Pelodiscus sinensis: one gene and its partner. The protein of the gene in region 2 binds, or shares a complex with, the protein of the main gene of each other region. Links are inferred from orthologs where the notes say so. Each region holds a gene or a part of one and is shown on either strand. Other genes may lie near its edges.

The links. Proteins that work in one complex are often made in the same cells at the same time.
Region 1: the proteins of SNTG1 (region 2) and transient receptor potential cation channel subfamily V member 3 are in contact, whole or in part, in a crystal structure (PDB 7QQN), measured with the Homo sapiens proteins. The link is inferred for Pelodiscus sinensis from reciprocal best matches to the Homo sapiens genes SNTG1 and TRPV3. Residues at the interface, in NP_001274742.1 of Homo sapiens: Arg62, Gly66, Gly67, Phe68, Gly69, Leu70, Ser71, Ile72, Lys73, Gly74, His78, Ser85, Lys86, His118, Glu119, Val122, Arg126; in NP_659505.1 of Homo sapiens: Pro786, Glu787, Thr788, Ser789, Val790.

The regions. Positions count from the first base shown.
Region 1 is NC_134731.1:3,845,001-3,852,636, reverse strand, and holds the start of transient receptor potential cation channel subfamily V member 3, read right to left. Parts: upstream 3,029-7,636; 5' UTR 2,890-3,028; intron 1,936-2,889; exon of another isoform or gene 1,864-1,935; intron 1-1,863. UniProt on the Homo sapiens protein: Non-selective calcium permeant cation channel. It is activated by innocuous (warm) temperatures and shows an increased response at noxious temperatures greater than 39 degrees Celsius. Activation exhibits an outward rectification.
Region 2 is NC_134712.1:68,483,098-68,490,673, forward strand, and holds the start of SNTG1 (gamma-1-syntrophin), read right to left. Parts: upstream 3,055-7,576; 5' UTR 1,647-3,054; intron 1-1,646. UniProt on the Homo sapiens protein: Adapter protein that binds to and probably organizes the subcellular localization of a variety of proteins. May link various receptors to the actin cytoskeleton and the dystrophin glycoprotein complex.

The DNA.
Region 1 (7,636 bases), on a different chromosome or scaffold from region 2:
GATACAAGGAGGCAGGTACGCTTGGTGAGGTGGAAGTTAACCAGCCAGGGGCCTAGAGAGGAAAGGACAGTTGACTGTGTAGACTTACCCTTAGAAGTGATTTTTAGTTTTTAGCAAGAGCCAAAATATAAGGAAATGGAGAAGAAGACAGTGAGGATTCAAAGATGATATTGAGGTTGTATATCTAGGTGATGGGAAGGATAATGACATTTTCAGTGATGCTAAAGCAAAGAGACACAAGAAAGAATCTGGGAGGAAAGAGGAGACAAAATTTCTAGAAATCTCAGCTGAGGAGTGTCAAAGCTCTTTGAGAGTTCTGGATGGTTAGTCTCATCCATAAGGCCACATTTTTAAACGACGGATCTAATTTTGCACCAGTAATTGAATGCAGCATAAATAGTAGAATGGAAATATCTAACTGCCCGAGCGGTAGATTGTGAAAGATTTACATTTTATCATTAGTGTGCATATTTAATTGCATCAATTGAAAATAAGCACAAAAATTAGTGGCCAGGTTTGGGACTTTGAAAATATGCCCCATAGAACTAAATTCTTTTCTTAGATATATCCATGCAACTTTCACTGAAGACAGTGGACATTTAATGTATGTATCATTAATTCTGAGATGCCTGTGTATCCTTAATTTTTCCCTCTCTATGTAATTGGTCTAATGACTGAATGATAATCTGTTCATCATTCAATACCCTTCTTCTGCTCTGCTGTTTTCTGTCATTTATACCAGACTCTCTCCAGTATCTTACATCATTCTGATCTTGTAAAGTGATTTGAGATACATTTTACATGATGAGCACTATACAAACTAAAGTTGGATTGCTTTATTGTCATAATCTGACAGGGGATGTGCTCCGCATTCTCTGCACATTTCTATTTTTACTCCAACCAGCTATTCTGTCATTATTTTTCAGCCAGTTTTTTCATTACCTATTTGCAGAATTGAATGCGACAATAAAATATTGTGCTGGTTCTTAGCATTAAGAAATAATATGAAGTATAAAGTGAATGTATCTAGAGAATAGTAGATATATCTTGTACTTTAGGTATGCTGTAAGGGCATAATTTACTGTACCAAAATCAGATGATTCCATCCCTACAGTGAGTAGTACTTCATGATGCAAGCAGTCATAGGGTATGTCTACACTACCCCACTAGTTCGAACTAGCGGGGTAATGTAGGCATACCGCACTTGCAAATGAAGCCCGGGATTTGAATTTCCTGGGCTTCATTTGCATAAGCGGGGCGCCGCCATTTTTAAAACCCCGCTGGTTCGAACCCCGTGCAGGGGCACGAACTAGGTAGTTCGAACTAGGCTTCCTAGTTCGAACTACCGTTACTCCTCGTGGAATGAGGAGTAACGGTAGTTCGAACTAGGAAGCCTAGTTCGAACTACCTAGTTCATGCCCCGTGTAGCCGCGCTGCACGGGGTTCGAACCAGCGGGGTTTTAAAAATGGCGGCACCCCGCTTATGCAAATGAAGCCCGGGAAATTCAAATCCTGGGCTTCATTTGCAAGTGCGGTATGCTTACATTACCCTCCTAGTTCGAACTAGGAGGGTAGTGTAGACATACCCCTATTGAGTAACCTTATGTATACATCAATTATAATATAACAGCAATCATCTTGGTTAAGACATAGAGAACAAACAAATAAAAAACCAAAACAGTGAAGTGGGTCAGAATGGAATGGTAGAATCCTCTTCTCTTTTCCTAATTCTCAAAAACAAACAAACAAACAAAAACCAAATAACTACCTGTAATGATTTCTATTCTATGTTTTTTTAAAAAACACTTCTACAATAAAGGTGTTCTTTCTGTTCTTCAGCTCTTTTTATTATTTGTACTACAGGTTGAATCTCTCTAGTCCAGCACCCTTGGAACCTGACCAGGGAAGAACTAGAGAATTTGCCAAACCGTGGAGGTCAGTATTTTCTAGCATTACCAACATTTTCACTGCCAGGTCAAACAAACGTTATGGTACTGCAGGAAACTTGACTACACCCCTCATAAGTGGACATCCAGCTAGCTAAAATGATGCCAGACCACAGATGTTGCCAAACCAGAGAGTGCCAGATTAGAGAAGTTCAACCCGTACCAGAGTATCTATAAAACCCACAAGTCCTGTATGCTAGGTGTTGCACAATATTCACACTTCCTTTAATAAGTTGCAGCTCTCTAATATGTGACTGACTGACATAAACTGTAAAAATGTGCAAAGCAACCCCCAAAGAGCAAAGAATCTGGTTTATCCTCTTCCCTTAATATTTTCATGCTTTTGGGGGGAGGGGAATGTGTATTTTGGGGATGTGACACTAAACTATAACTTAATTTTTCCCAATAGAAAAATGAGTTTTCCCATGAAAAACTGTTTTTACAAATTGGCAGAATCCTCTGTGAAAAATAATTTCTTCCCTAAGGAATACAGGATTTATCGATCAGAACTCTTTTCTTTATAGATCTTAGCATTATAGAAACACTAAGGAACTGATCTGACTACCATTCTGCTTTTGGGAGTGAATGTAACATCTGAGTCCTTCAGAAAAAGATGGAAATGTTTTTTAAATTTAGTTTTTTCCCCAACAGAATTGTGAACAGCTGTATTTACTAGATTATAAATGATAAAAGGTCACTATGGATCAGATAAGTATACATAAAAACATTTTATCTGTTTTCACTTCTACATACTTAGGGAATTAAGATTTGTCATGTCACACAGCTCTGGTTTAATAAATCACAAAAAGCTTTACTACATTTAAAAATAAGGAACTCTTTTATCCTTTGCCTTTTAAAGAATGGCAGAGTCACATAAAGTCCTCAATCTCCACATGCGTACCATAATGCAATCTGCATCCAGATGAGCTCTAAGATGACTTACCCTGGTTAGGAAGCTCCCATTCGTATATTGGAAAGGTGGCTTATGGTTGTTAGAAGGAACTCCAAAGCGGTTGTCACCAATGCTGCTATTGTATCCAAAAAGGTGAAAGAGCACAATAAACAAAAAATGTTTCTTAAAGGTTAAAAGCATCCTAAAAATGTGAGGCACCCTTTCCGTGTCATCTAGTTTGTTTGGGTGCAGTTTCCATTTGACTGTAGTACTTAAAACTGGAACACCTCAGGGTTACGCCTGAAATTGGGCAAGCGACAGACAGACTTGCTAGACAACAATTCCTTCACTGCACTACTCACAAAATTGGGAGATAAAACACTGCCAATAATTATATATTTAAAATAGTTGCTAATAAATCTGAGTCACTTAATGATGAGGCAATGACATTTGAGTCAAGGGTATACATAGCTTTTTAGTTTCTGTGTTCCGTATTAGTAAGAATATATCCATTGATATTGTAAATCGTGTTATGTCATACTTCATTTGTTGTACAGGTTGTACCTCCCTAAACTGGGACACTCTGGTCCAGCAACATCTGTGGTCTAGTAGGACCGTGGAAGTTCCTAGACCACAGAGCCAAGGGACAGAGAGGTCTGGCAGCGGGGCAGGAGTACAGTGGGTGGGGAGGGAGGCGACTTGGCTGGGGAGCCCCGTGGCACAATGGGGAGCTCTGGCTCTTGCAGCATCAGGGCAGCTCTGGGCCCGGTGGTGGCTGGGGAGCTCCAGCCCCAGTGGTAGCTCCTGACCCAGGGGCCATGGAGCTCCAGCCCCAGAGAGCCCCAGCTGGGCCAGCGGCAGAGAGGCGGGGGCCTGAGGGCCAAGCATAGCCAGAAGCAGCCTGCGGTAGGGAGGGGCAGAGGGTTAGGAGGTCTTTAGCAAGAGAAAACCCCTGGTGCGGCAAATCTCCTTGTTCGGGACTGATCAGGTCCTGAGGGTGCCGGACCAAGTTAGTCCAAGCTGTGTAATATATAACTATGTTACCTATTCAAAAAACACAAAACAAACGTGAAAAGATCAATTGAGAGCACTCCAAAAAGAGACAAAGAAAGCAAAGACATGTATAGTTAATTGCTTTCATAACACATTGGGGCTGTGTCTAGACTGGCAAGTTTTTCCGGAAAATCAGCCGCTTTTCCGGAAAAACTTGCCAGCTGTCTACACTGGCCACTTGAATTTCCGGAAAAGCACTGACGATCTCATGTAAGATCGTCAGTGATTTTCCAGAAATACTATGCTGCTCCCGTTCGGGCAAAAGTCTTTTTCCGAAAGACTTTTGCGCAAAAGGGCCAGTGTAAAGAGCACAGTACTGTTTTAGGCAAAAAAGCCCCGATCGCGAAAATGGCGATCAGGGCTTTTTTGCGGAAAAGCGCATCTAGATTGGCCACGGACGCTTTTCTGCAAAAAGTGCTTTTCCGGAAAAGCTTCAATCTAGACACGCTTTTCCGAAAATGCTTTTAATGGAAAACTTTTCCGTTAAAAGCATTTCCGGAAAATCATGCCAGTGTAGATGTAGCCAGAGAGTTTAGAGAGCCATTCGTTTCCAAATAGTGAGGATACAGCAGATGTTTTAAAGCATTTCCTGTCTTTAAAGGGATTCAAAAGATGTATCTTTAGGCTTCATGAGGATATGAATTTGCATGTTTTGTATCAACAACACTAATTTCAATGCATTGTGTAATGCCAATTCCAAGGGAATGGAATTTTGCAACCTTGCTTGTTTTTCACAGTTTGCTATATAGTTGAGAGAGTCTGTGGGTCTGTCTGTTTGTTCAAGAACTCCTCCTAAACCGTAAGAGCTAGGACCACCAAATTCGGTATATGGCTTTGTCTTATCGTAACTTAAATCAAGGTAAGGAACTGGTTGTGCCAGGAAAATAGGATGTGCCTGGAATGGGATTGTGTCTCATCAAACCATACAGAAAAGATACAGAATTACCAGGTGGGTAACAAGGGCTGGCTGTGCGTGTGCCCTCCTCGGTTCAGGACTGCCCCAGCCTCAAATTTCTCGCTTCCAAGTGCCATTTAGGGAGAGCTGGGAGGAGGGGTAAGCTGAAGCTCTCTCGATTCAGACGGGAACATTGCTGGCTATTCCCCTTCATCAGGGAGTAAAGGGAAATTGCAAAGTTTGCTGCATTGCTCACTTTGGCTAGGAAGCTCAGGGGGAGAGGAACCTGGACCTCTCCCAGCTGGGGGACAGGTACCCCTCTCCTGGCTGTGCCTGCTGGAGCTGCAGCAGCCATGGAGAGGCACTTCTCACCTGGCTCCAAATTTCTGCCTCTCTCCTCTCTCCTCAGGGCAGTCTGCATCCTGAACCCTTCACTTCCAGGCTCCCCCAGAGCTCTGCTTCAAGTGAAGAAAAATTAAAATTAATTGAGTTAAGGACCCGAGCAACATCAGGTAAATCTCCTAATGGAATAATAATTAACACAATGGACTTCTTTCCTTCGGGCACCTATAAAGCTATATCTAGACTGCAGAGTTGTTCTGGGATACCAGAGGTATCCCAGAAAAACTCTGCCGCGTCCAGGGAAGGCATCCGCCTTTCTGGAACAGTTTCTGAAAAAACGGGCGCATTCTTTCGGCATCCATGTATTCCTCATTTTATGAGGAATAAGGGATGTTCTGAAGGAAGAGGTTTTTCCAACATTTGGCTCCATGTAGATAGGCCAAATGTTGGAAAAGCCTCTTCTGTTAAAACAAGCATAAAATGATATGCAAGTTGCGGTTCGCAATTTGCTTATCTTTTTCCGAAAAAACCCACCCACAGCATTGACAAAGCCTCACCGTGTAGCCTCAAGTTTTCCTCTCCTTCCCTTGGTTTTACCTTTATCAGGGAACAGTTTGTGTGCATAAGATATGTAACCATGCCTCGAAGATATGCTTAAGATTCTCTCAATTAACTTCACTGAAGTGACAACTCCATTGGATCTTGAGAGTTATGTACTTAACGAGGTGAGTCTAATGGACCAACAGCTCATGTTATAAAAGGGAGCTGGAAGGCATAAGAAGTTTGGAAAGCAAACAAAAAGCAAATATGAAGAGGTTTTGGAAATGGAAGCTTATGAATGGCTTAAGAAATTGACTCCTGGAATTAGACATTTGTGGCCTGAAGAAAAATTTCACATTCCTCCACTGGTTCCCCCTTCCCTTTCACATCAGACATAAGTATCCTGTCAGAAGACAGGTATTGAGCTAAATGGATCTTTGGTCTGACCCAGGATGTTCTTATGTTCTTATAAAATACTTGTCTTCACTTTCAAGATTCTTTATCTTGGCCTATCCCCACCCTCTTTCATTCCCTATCAAAATGTCAGCTCCTACCTAGATGGGTCCATGGTACCAGCCTTTATCACACACTTGTTACATTTTCAAAGAGTACCTTTCTCCTTTCTCTCATCCTTCCTCTTGTGCTTGGAAGGAGCTCCCCATAAACCTCTACAAAACCAACTCATTATACTCCTTCAAATCGTTTCTTAGTTATTAATGGTTCACAATCCTGCTGGAAAGGTATAACAAGTGGGGCTCCGCAGGGGTCTGTTTTGGGACCGGCTCTCTTCAATATCTTCATCAACAATTTAGATATTGGCATAGAAAGTACTCTTATTAAGTTTGTGGATGATACCAAACTGGAAGGGGTTGCAACTGCTCTGGAGGATAGGGTCATAATTCAAAATGATCTGGACAAATTGGAGAAATGGTCTGACGTAAACAGGATGAAGTTTAATAAAGACAAATGCAAAGTGCTCCACTTAGGAAGGAACAATCAGTTTCATACATACAGAATGGAAAGCGACTGTTTAGGAAGGAGTATGGCAGAAAGGGAACTAAGGGTTACAGTGGACCATAAGCTGAATATGAGTCAGCAGTGTGATGCTGTTGCAAAAAAAACCAAACATGATTCTGGGATGCATTAAAAGTGTGTTGTGAGCAAGACACGAGAAGTCATTCTTCCCCTCTACCCTGCGCTGGTTAGGCCTCAGTTGGAGTATTGTGTCCAGTTCTGGGTACCGCATTTCAAGAAAGATGTGGAGAAATTGGAGAGGGTCCAGCGAAGAGCAAGAAGAATGATTAAAGGTCTACAGAACATGACCTATGAAGGAAGGCTGAGAGAATTGGGTTTAAACTGCAGCAAAGGAGGTTTAGGTTGGACATTAGGAAAAAGTTCCTAACTGTCAGGGTAGTTAAACACTGGAATAAATTGCCCAGGGAGGTTGTGGGATCTCCATCTCTGGAGAATTTAAGAGTAGGTTAGATAAATGGTCTAGACAGTATTTGGTCCTTCCATGAGGGCAGGGGACTGGATTCGATGACCGCTTGAGGTCCCTTCCAGTCCTAGTATTCTATGATTAATACTCTCCTCTGCTGAGGTCCCCACAGAAAAATTCACAACATTTAGACTGGTAATATGCAGAGACCATAGCTTATCCTGCTGACCATATTGTCTCATTTTTTCTTTGTTCTTTCCCATCTGCCTGCCTGTGCCCATCTGTTTTCTCTTTACAACTTACAAGTGATGATAAGCTAACTGACATAGTGCCATGAATAATAATTATTCCGGCATCCCTTATGAAAAAAATTCCTTTCATATCGTAACTTTAAAAGTACAATTACCTAATTACTAAGTAACCATTAATTTCCAAGGAATTAAGCTGGAGGAAGCTGCTAGTGGAAAAAGTTTCCAAGGCTCGTGCATGCGATGCACGCACACCTGATTGGAATGGACGTGAACAACACA
Region 2 (7,576 bases):
TCTGAAAGTGTATTCAAATTATGCACGTAACTCATTCCCAGCAAGGAAAAGGCTTATTTCATCCTTTTGCTATAACTGGTGCTTTAGTCATGTGTTCAACATATAAGCACCTTTTTATCCTATTATGATAATGTTGCTCAAATGAGAAAAGTGTAGGCAGCTGTATATAAAAGGATCTTCCTTCTAAACCCTCAGAGTTGACAAGTGCTGACAAATCAAAGTGAATTAATCTGGAAAGATTTGGGATTTTTTTTTTTTGTATTGGTCTCCATTTACTGGAGACTTCTGTTTAGAAAATAAAGTCAAATAAAAATCAACAATTATTTCATACCCATTTACTTTTCTATAGAAGGAAATCCCTCTACATTACTTGCAGCAGGTACATAGAATTATTTATGTTGTAACTGTCAAGCAAGTTCATTGCTGTAAATGAATACACATCCTTAGCTCCACCCTTTTATCCCCACTACCACTATTGAAAGTCATATGCTCACTGGAACTGATCATGTTCTAAGCAAAATGTCAATGCTTGGCTGTAAATCAGTGTAATTTTTTTCTCCCTGTGAAACCTCATGCTGAAGCAGGATGCTCATCAAGGTCACTATAAGATTATAGTTTTCAGTCTTGTAGAGAAGGTGCTAAGAAAAATCAATAAACATAAACATAATTAAATAAGCTTTGAAGTTTGTTGTTTGCCTTTCAATGTGAAATCACATCTTCATCTCCTGAATTTCAGTGATGGGTGGCAGGTAGATACCATGAGGCAGGTCAGCTAACTTATGCACTAGCTGTGCTGAAAGGTGAGCAGGAAATCTGGCATTTTGCAGTGTGACAGCTTAGTTCTGAGCAAACTATCTTCAACTGAATTTTTAGGAAGAGATTATAGTCTCCTGGGCTTGTCCCTGCTCCCTCCTAAGTAGAGTTTTAGTGTGGACTTTCAGCGGAGCAGGACTGGACAGCTTGCTTACTACACCTTTTCTGTATGCCCTGTTAAACTGAAACCATGCTGGACCCAACTTTTGTTTTCTGATTAATGTCAATCACCAGGAAGATCCATAGATGTACATAACTTCATATTTTTTCAAAAAAAGCCAGGAAAACAAAACCCACAAGAGAAGGAGCATCAGAAAAAAAACAATTACCAAATGGCATGGTAAAAGTTAAGAGATATGCAGATCAAATTCAAGCACTGTAGTGCATTGCATAAATGCCTCAGATACACACCGGGCTATCCTACAAGAGCGGTGGCTAAAATGCACTCTAGTAAAAGACTCCCACTATTGAGGGACATGCAAACACAGAGAAAAAGATAGCTGGGATGCTAATAAACATACACGGCATCATTCCCAGGGGCTGTAGCTGCAGAAGTGGTCACCAGGCTAGTCCTTTACCCCTATTCTTGGGCAGCTGCTGTAAAGGAGGTGTTTACCAGGCACTTTCACAGAGAGGGACCCAGGCTGGCTTGCAACAGAGCCCACTCTGTCGCACATGTCTCACATGAGGAGCCCTGGAGGAGATCGAAACCCTCAGGTGACTCCGCTACCCGCCCTACCCCCCAGCCCAGGACTTCCAAACCACCAGCTGCAAAGCCTCGGCGGCGAGACCTGTACGATCAAGGAAATCAAGGATGGGAGCCGGTGACTTACTTGCCAATGTGCTAGGTCAGGCGAGCTGCTCTCTCGGTGGCCCAAACGTGGCAGAGCTGGTCCTCCTCGGATCTCCTCTCCGCGCTATGGCCAAAGTATTTCCAACCCACTCGGGGACATCTCCGCGGCTTATTTAGCGTCACCAGGCATCTCTCTCCCCTTGGCCCGGATCGCAGGGGCCATGATTTAAACCGCAGCCTCCGGGAAGTTACACTCTTATTTGTGTTTTCAGAGGGGGGGGGGGGGGAATCGGGTGGAAGTGGCTGGTGAGCGCTCCAACTCCGGAGCGGAATGACGCCACCGACCCCGCTTGCAGTGGCAGGGGCGGGGGGTTACTTTCCGGCCACCCCAAACAATAAAATAAATAACTCGGAGGGGAGGGGGAGCGAGAGAGGAGGGAGCGCCGCCCTTTCAGCAGCAGAGCGAGGCGAGCCGGTGGATGGGCACCTGCAGCGGCAGCGCTGGGTCCCGCTGCCTGCGGAGTCCTGAGGCGCTGCCCATCCCTGCGGAGGGAGAGGGGGGGGGGGGGATCCGAGCCACCGGGAGCCCCCGCCAGCTGCCACCAACTCGCTTCCCGCGCGCGGCGGGGGAGGAAAGATCCGCCGTGCGGGGGCTGGAGCTGCCGGGCGTCCTCCGCCGCTGGAGCGCGGGAGAAACCCAAGTCCCTCCGTGCACAGCCGAGCCCCAGGCAGACAGGGGGAGAGATGGCGCTTGGGCGGGCTCCAGGCGGGAGGCAGGAAACTTACCGCGCCCCCGCCAAGTGCAGCGGGTGAGCCCCGGGAGGGGAAGCCGGGCTCAATCCGGATCCTCCCTGGGGAGCGAGCGCCGGGCTAACATCCGAGCCGGCTCCGCCAGGCGGCTTCTGGCTCCCCGCCGGGCCCCCGAAAGGAAATCACACGTGACGGGGAGAAGTTGAGGCTGCGGGGAGAGCGCTTTAAAGGGGAAAAGCTGAGGCGCTGGAGGGGGGTAGCGGAGCCCACCAATCCTTGTCCCTGTGGGGCCCGGGACGCTCACATTCCGCTGCCTGCGCGAGGTCCAAATCCAGCCAGCGCTGCTATTTCAAAACAGCCTTGGGGCCGGGGCGCGCTCAGTGCAACAGCGCCACAAGAACTCGCAACCTGCCCCTAGAGCCCGAGAGACTCGCCCCCCCCCCCCACCCCGATCCGCGGGCTCTCGCCCCCTAAAACCTTCATGTACAGAGAACAAGCCCACATTTTGCCACCGCAGCAGAGAATAAATGTAGCTTCTCCTATTGTTCTACTCCTTCCTCCTTTGGCCCACCCAAAATCTGCAGCAGGGCTTCCCAGAGCACCCAAAAAAACCTTGATGGGGAAGTGAAATATCAGATAGCACTGTTAAATTTTCCTCCTTGAACCTCCATATTTTGTCCATACAGAGAACGCCATTTAGCGTCTCCCTGTTGTATCTTTAAAATCCACACGGATGTGCCCCAGAGCCAAACTACCACCCAAACTTAGACCCCCCCCCCACACACACACACCTGGGAGCATGCCAAAGTTTCACCAAACACGCAGAACATGCACCTAAAATCAGAGTTAAAGGCGATGCTTCTACTGTTGCCTCAACAATCCGGACCCAGCAAAATTTGTAACGGCAAATGTTCTCATTGGGTACCTATAGCCTGCTAGAAATGGCTAATTTAGGCGTGCGTGCTCTATTTTACCTTCTTCTCTGTCTTACTGTACGTCATGAAATGCAATGCACTGCTTGGCAGATGGGAATACATTATCTTCTATATTCAGTAAAAGTTATGCATGGCTTTTTAAAACAGATACAGTTAAAGCTACAGGGGCTTTTTAATATTAAACGAACTGTTACAGTCCTCAACCAGTCCCTTGTCAATTAGATTACATAATCTACAAGCCCTTGACTATTTTCTAATTTGGGCTCTGGTACTTTGATTTTGTTGTGGCTCCATCTGCTAAGGAAATAACGCCCTGATTGCTACCGTAAAGAGATAAACAAAGATCCATATTTTATCATTTGCATGGCTGATCATTTATGGAACATCTCAGATCTGAGGGTTGCCTCCAGCTTTTGTTGCTAACATATTTAAAATGCATACTCCTAACTAGTTGCAGTTTCACAGGTTAAACTGATGTTTTCAACTTTCTATGTAATTGTGAGGCGGGCATAGGGAAGAAGGGGCAATGTTGGTGAATCATGATAAATTTGGCCCTGGATTCTGCACATGTGCTAAAATTTAAGCGGTGATGCAGCCAGAAGCAAAGTGGTGCCAAAGCAGAGTTTTTACAGCGTTCTACCAGAATTGGCTGGGGACTGGGAAGAAACATTTGTTTTTGGGGAGTGGGGGAGGGGCGTGGCAGAATAGTAGATCAAGCTTGTTCTGTATTTTAAGGTCCCTGGCCAACATTTGACAAGGTCCAGGTTTTGTATGCAGTGTTGCTTCTCAGTTCTGTCCCTGCAACAAGAGCAGCTAATTGTGTTTACAGGGGTGGGAAACCTTTTTTGGGTTGGGGGGTTGCAGACCCACACAAAAATGTCTGGATTTTTCACAAATTGAGAAACAAAAAACCCTCAATGACATGGCACCCAACTGAGAAAGACAAAGAGGCTCCCCACATTCCTCTTGCACACCAAAGCCTGGGGGGGGAGGGCAAGCTAGTAGATTTTCTGTGCTCTAGCTATGGAGCTGGAGCACCAGCACAGGTTCCCCAATACTGGGGGGAGCCCCAAGACTCAGGGGCCAGATCCAGGCAAGCAGAAGGCCACATCCAGCCTGGGTCTTGGATTCTCCACCCTTGGTTTACCTTGGGAGGGCATGGCAGGATCCTTTCACTGCTCTGCCCTGTGGCCCAAGAAGTGTACCTCCACTCTTTCCAGTTTATGGGGTAGAAACAGAAGTGGATTACCAATAGGCAGACTAAGCACATGCTTAGGGCACCAGCTAAGCAGGGGGCACCAAAAAATGAGATTTTACAGTATAGTATTATTTTTAATTTTAAATTACTTATGGGGGAACATCATAATCTTTTCAGTGCTTAGGGCCTCTAAAGGTCTTAATCCAGCCCTGGGTAGAAATACTGGGGGCAAAAATGTTTGCTGGATCTCACAAGATCCAAGTGGTGGAGCTGAGATTTTGCAGGTTGTGCCGAGATGCCTCAGAGAGCTGGGTGGGTGTGAAGCAGGAGACACTAGATTCGTCCCTGTTTTATGTGGAAGTGTTGGAAGGACAAGAGGGAAAAGGGGGGGGGCAGGCTCTAGCGAATCCTGCCTTTCCCGAGAGCTCCTTTAAGGGCTCAGTCGCAGTGAGAACAAATCAGTGACCTAGCTTATGTGCTTGCAGTTCCCAGGACGCCTGCCTTTTCCTCCCCTTCCAATCGATTGCTGGAGGAGTCCTAGCCGGCCGAGGGCAGTCGAAGTGCACGGACCCTTGGGAAGTTACAGGCAGAAGGGGAGGCGGCAGGGGGCAGACGCTCACGCCTGCCTGGCCGAAGCAGTGATCTTAGTGAGAACAGAAGCCGCGTGGGTGCTGGGAAAGGCTCGGCACGCGTGCGGAATGTTGGATATTTTGGGAGACGCCACCTCTTTAAAGACTCGGTCCCCCTGTAGTTTGTTGATTGCTCGCCTCGCCTGCCTTGCGAGGAAAGCTCGCCGGTGCTCGCAGAGAATGAGAGCGAGCTTACTGGGGAGGGACTCACACACCCCACACGTGGAGGCGTGTAACGTGGGGAGAGGGGGCTTGGCGAATTAATTCTGCTCGGCCGGGGAAGGAAGCCGCTGCTTGCACCCAGAGACGTCGGCTGCACCCGGGCAAAGGGAACCCGCGGGACTGGAGAACCCTCCACCCCCCAGCTGCATCCTAGCCCAGCTGCCGGAGCAGCCGCGGGGGCTCGTAGGGCGGGGGCGGGGCTTCAAACGCGTTCAGGGATAGGCTGCCGCTCGCCCCGACCACGCAGCTGGGCGGCCCCGCTGGATGATTTCAAGCGCCGCTTCCCGCTGGGTGTCAGTCAGAGCGAGGAGGTTTGGAGCCGCATCTCGCTCCCTTTCTCGGCCTGTCCAGCCCCTTTGCTCCCTGCTCGCAACCCATAGCATAGCGCATCCCCATCCTCGAGACGCTCAGCCAAGGGCAGTGTACGGGAGAGACATTTAAACCACGAGGGACCAAAGCAAACATCTTATTTATACAGGCATCCAGAGATCAGTGCATTGCAAACTCCTTAGTCCTGCGCTGGCTTAGTGTGGTGGTGATCCTCTTGATTTTCCCTTGCGGGGGGCGGTTAGGCTGGCAGATAAGATCTCTGAGCAGGCTTTCAATAAGTAGGACCAGGCCATATTTAGAGGACTAATTTCATCCCACTGACACTAAGTGGCGCTATAGAGACGAGAAAAAACTCACCTCTTAAACAGCTGAAATAAATGGACACTTTTCTCAGGGTTTGGGGTGACGGTCTAAAAGGCTTTTGGGAGTTTGAATTTTATTGAAAAGTTAGCAGCACGCGGTGTGCATTCCCTTTTCTAGCAGTAATGCCACACAGTTGAAGGGAAGTGATAGATCTGAGGAAGTGGGTCTGGCCCACGAAAGCTCATCATCTAATAAACCATCTTGTTAGTCTTTAAAGTGCTACATTGTCTTGCATTTTGCTTCAGCTGAAGGGAAGGGTAGTTGGGAAAATATTAAAAATGATTTCCTTGTTGATGTTTTACTTGACTTTTCTTGCAATTAGGCTGCTCTTGACGCAGGATTATTTAATTTCTAATTTTTATTGTTGAAAGCTCTCCAGCTGTAAATTTGGACCTGATGCAAACAAATAGTGTGAACAATAACTCTTCTATCACTTTTTATAAATATTAACTGCAATAACATTCAGTGAGCCTAGGCATCAACCAACATAATGCAACTTTATGCAGATTAAGTGCTAAACTAATAGGCTATGTCTAGACTGGCATGATTTTCCGCAAATGCTTTTAACGGAAAAGTTTTCTGTTAAAAGCATTTGTGGAAAAGAGCATCTAGATTGGCATGGACGCTTTTCCGCAAAAGCACTTTTTGCGGAAAAGCGTCTGTGCCAATCTAGATGCGTTTTTGCGCAAAAAAGCCCTGATCATCATTTTTGCGATCGGGGCTTTTTTGCGCAAAACAAATCTGAACTGTCTACACTGACCGACTTTTGCCCGAATGGGAGCAGCATAGTATTTCCACAAGAAGCACTGATTTCAGACAGTAGGAAGTCAGTGTTCTTGCAGAAATTCAAGCAGCCAATGTAGACAGCTGGCAAGTTTTTCCTCAAAAGCAGCTGCTTTTGCGTTAAAACTTGCCAGTCTAGACACAGCCATAGAGTTACTCTAGAAAGAGTAAATAAATTGTGATTTGATAAATACATAAGAACATGCACTCTGATGGAATTTATGCCTATTTGAACACATATACTTTGTATCTGGAGATACAACCCCCTTTTTAAATGGTGAAATATTAACTGAACAATATATCTGCCACCCAAATATGTATGTGACTCATGTTCAGTTCTTTTCAGTGGATCAGTAATTTGAATGGTCATTTCCAGTCATGTTTCTTTGGGGTTTTTGCCTCCACACAACTACTGGAAAAGTCAATTATATCTGCTACTATCCAAGTCTAAATATATCTATCTTTGAGTTGAGACACTTAAACGGATCTGATGAGATTGCAACACTGCAAGGATAACTCAAATATATGCTAAATCAATACATGAGAAAAGGCCCGTGAGTTTGAAAATGGATGCTCTTCTTCAAAAATTAAGCCAGTCATTTTCATCGTATATTCAGGAAGGACATTACTGCTTGAACGCCTGACAGAAATGTTGTTGAATTGAGTGTATTTGTATTTATCTATCTAATGCAATAACTTATCAGTGCCACATCTGATCAATTCCATGTTTGCAGGGAATGCTCTAGTCACCACTGACCAT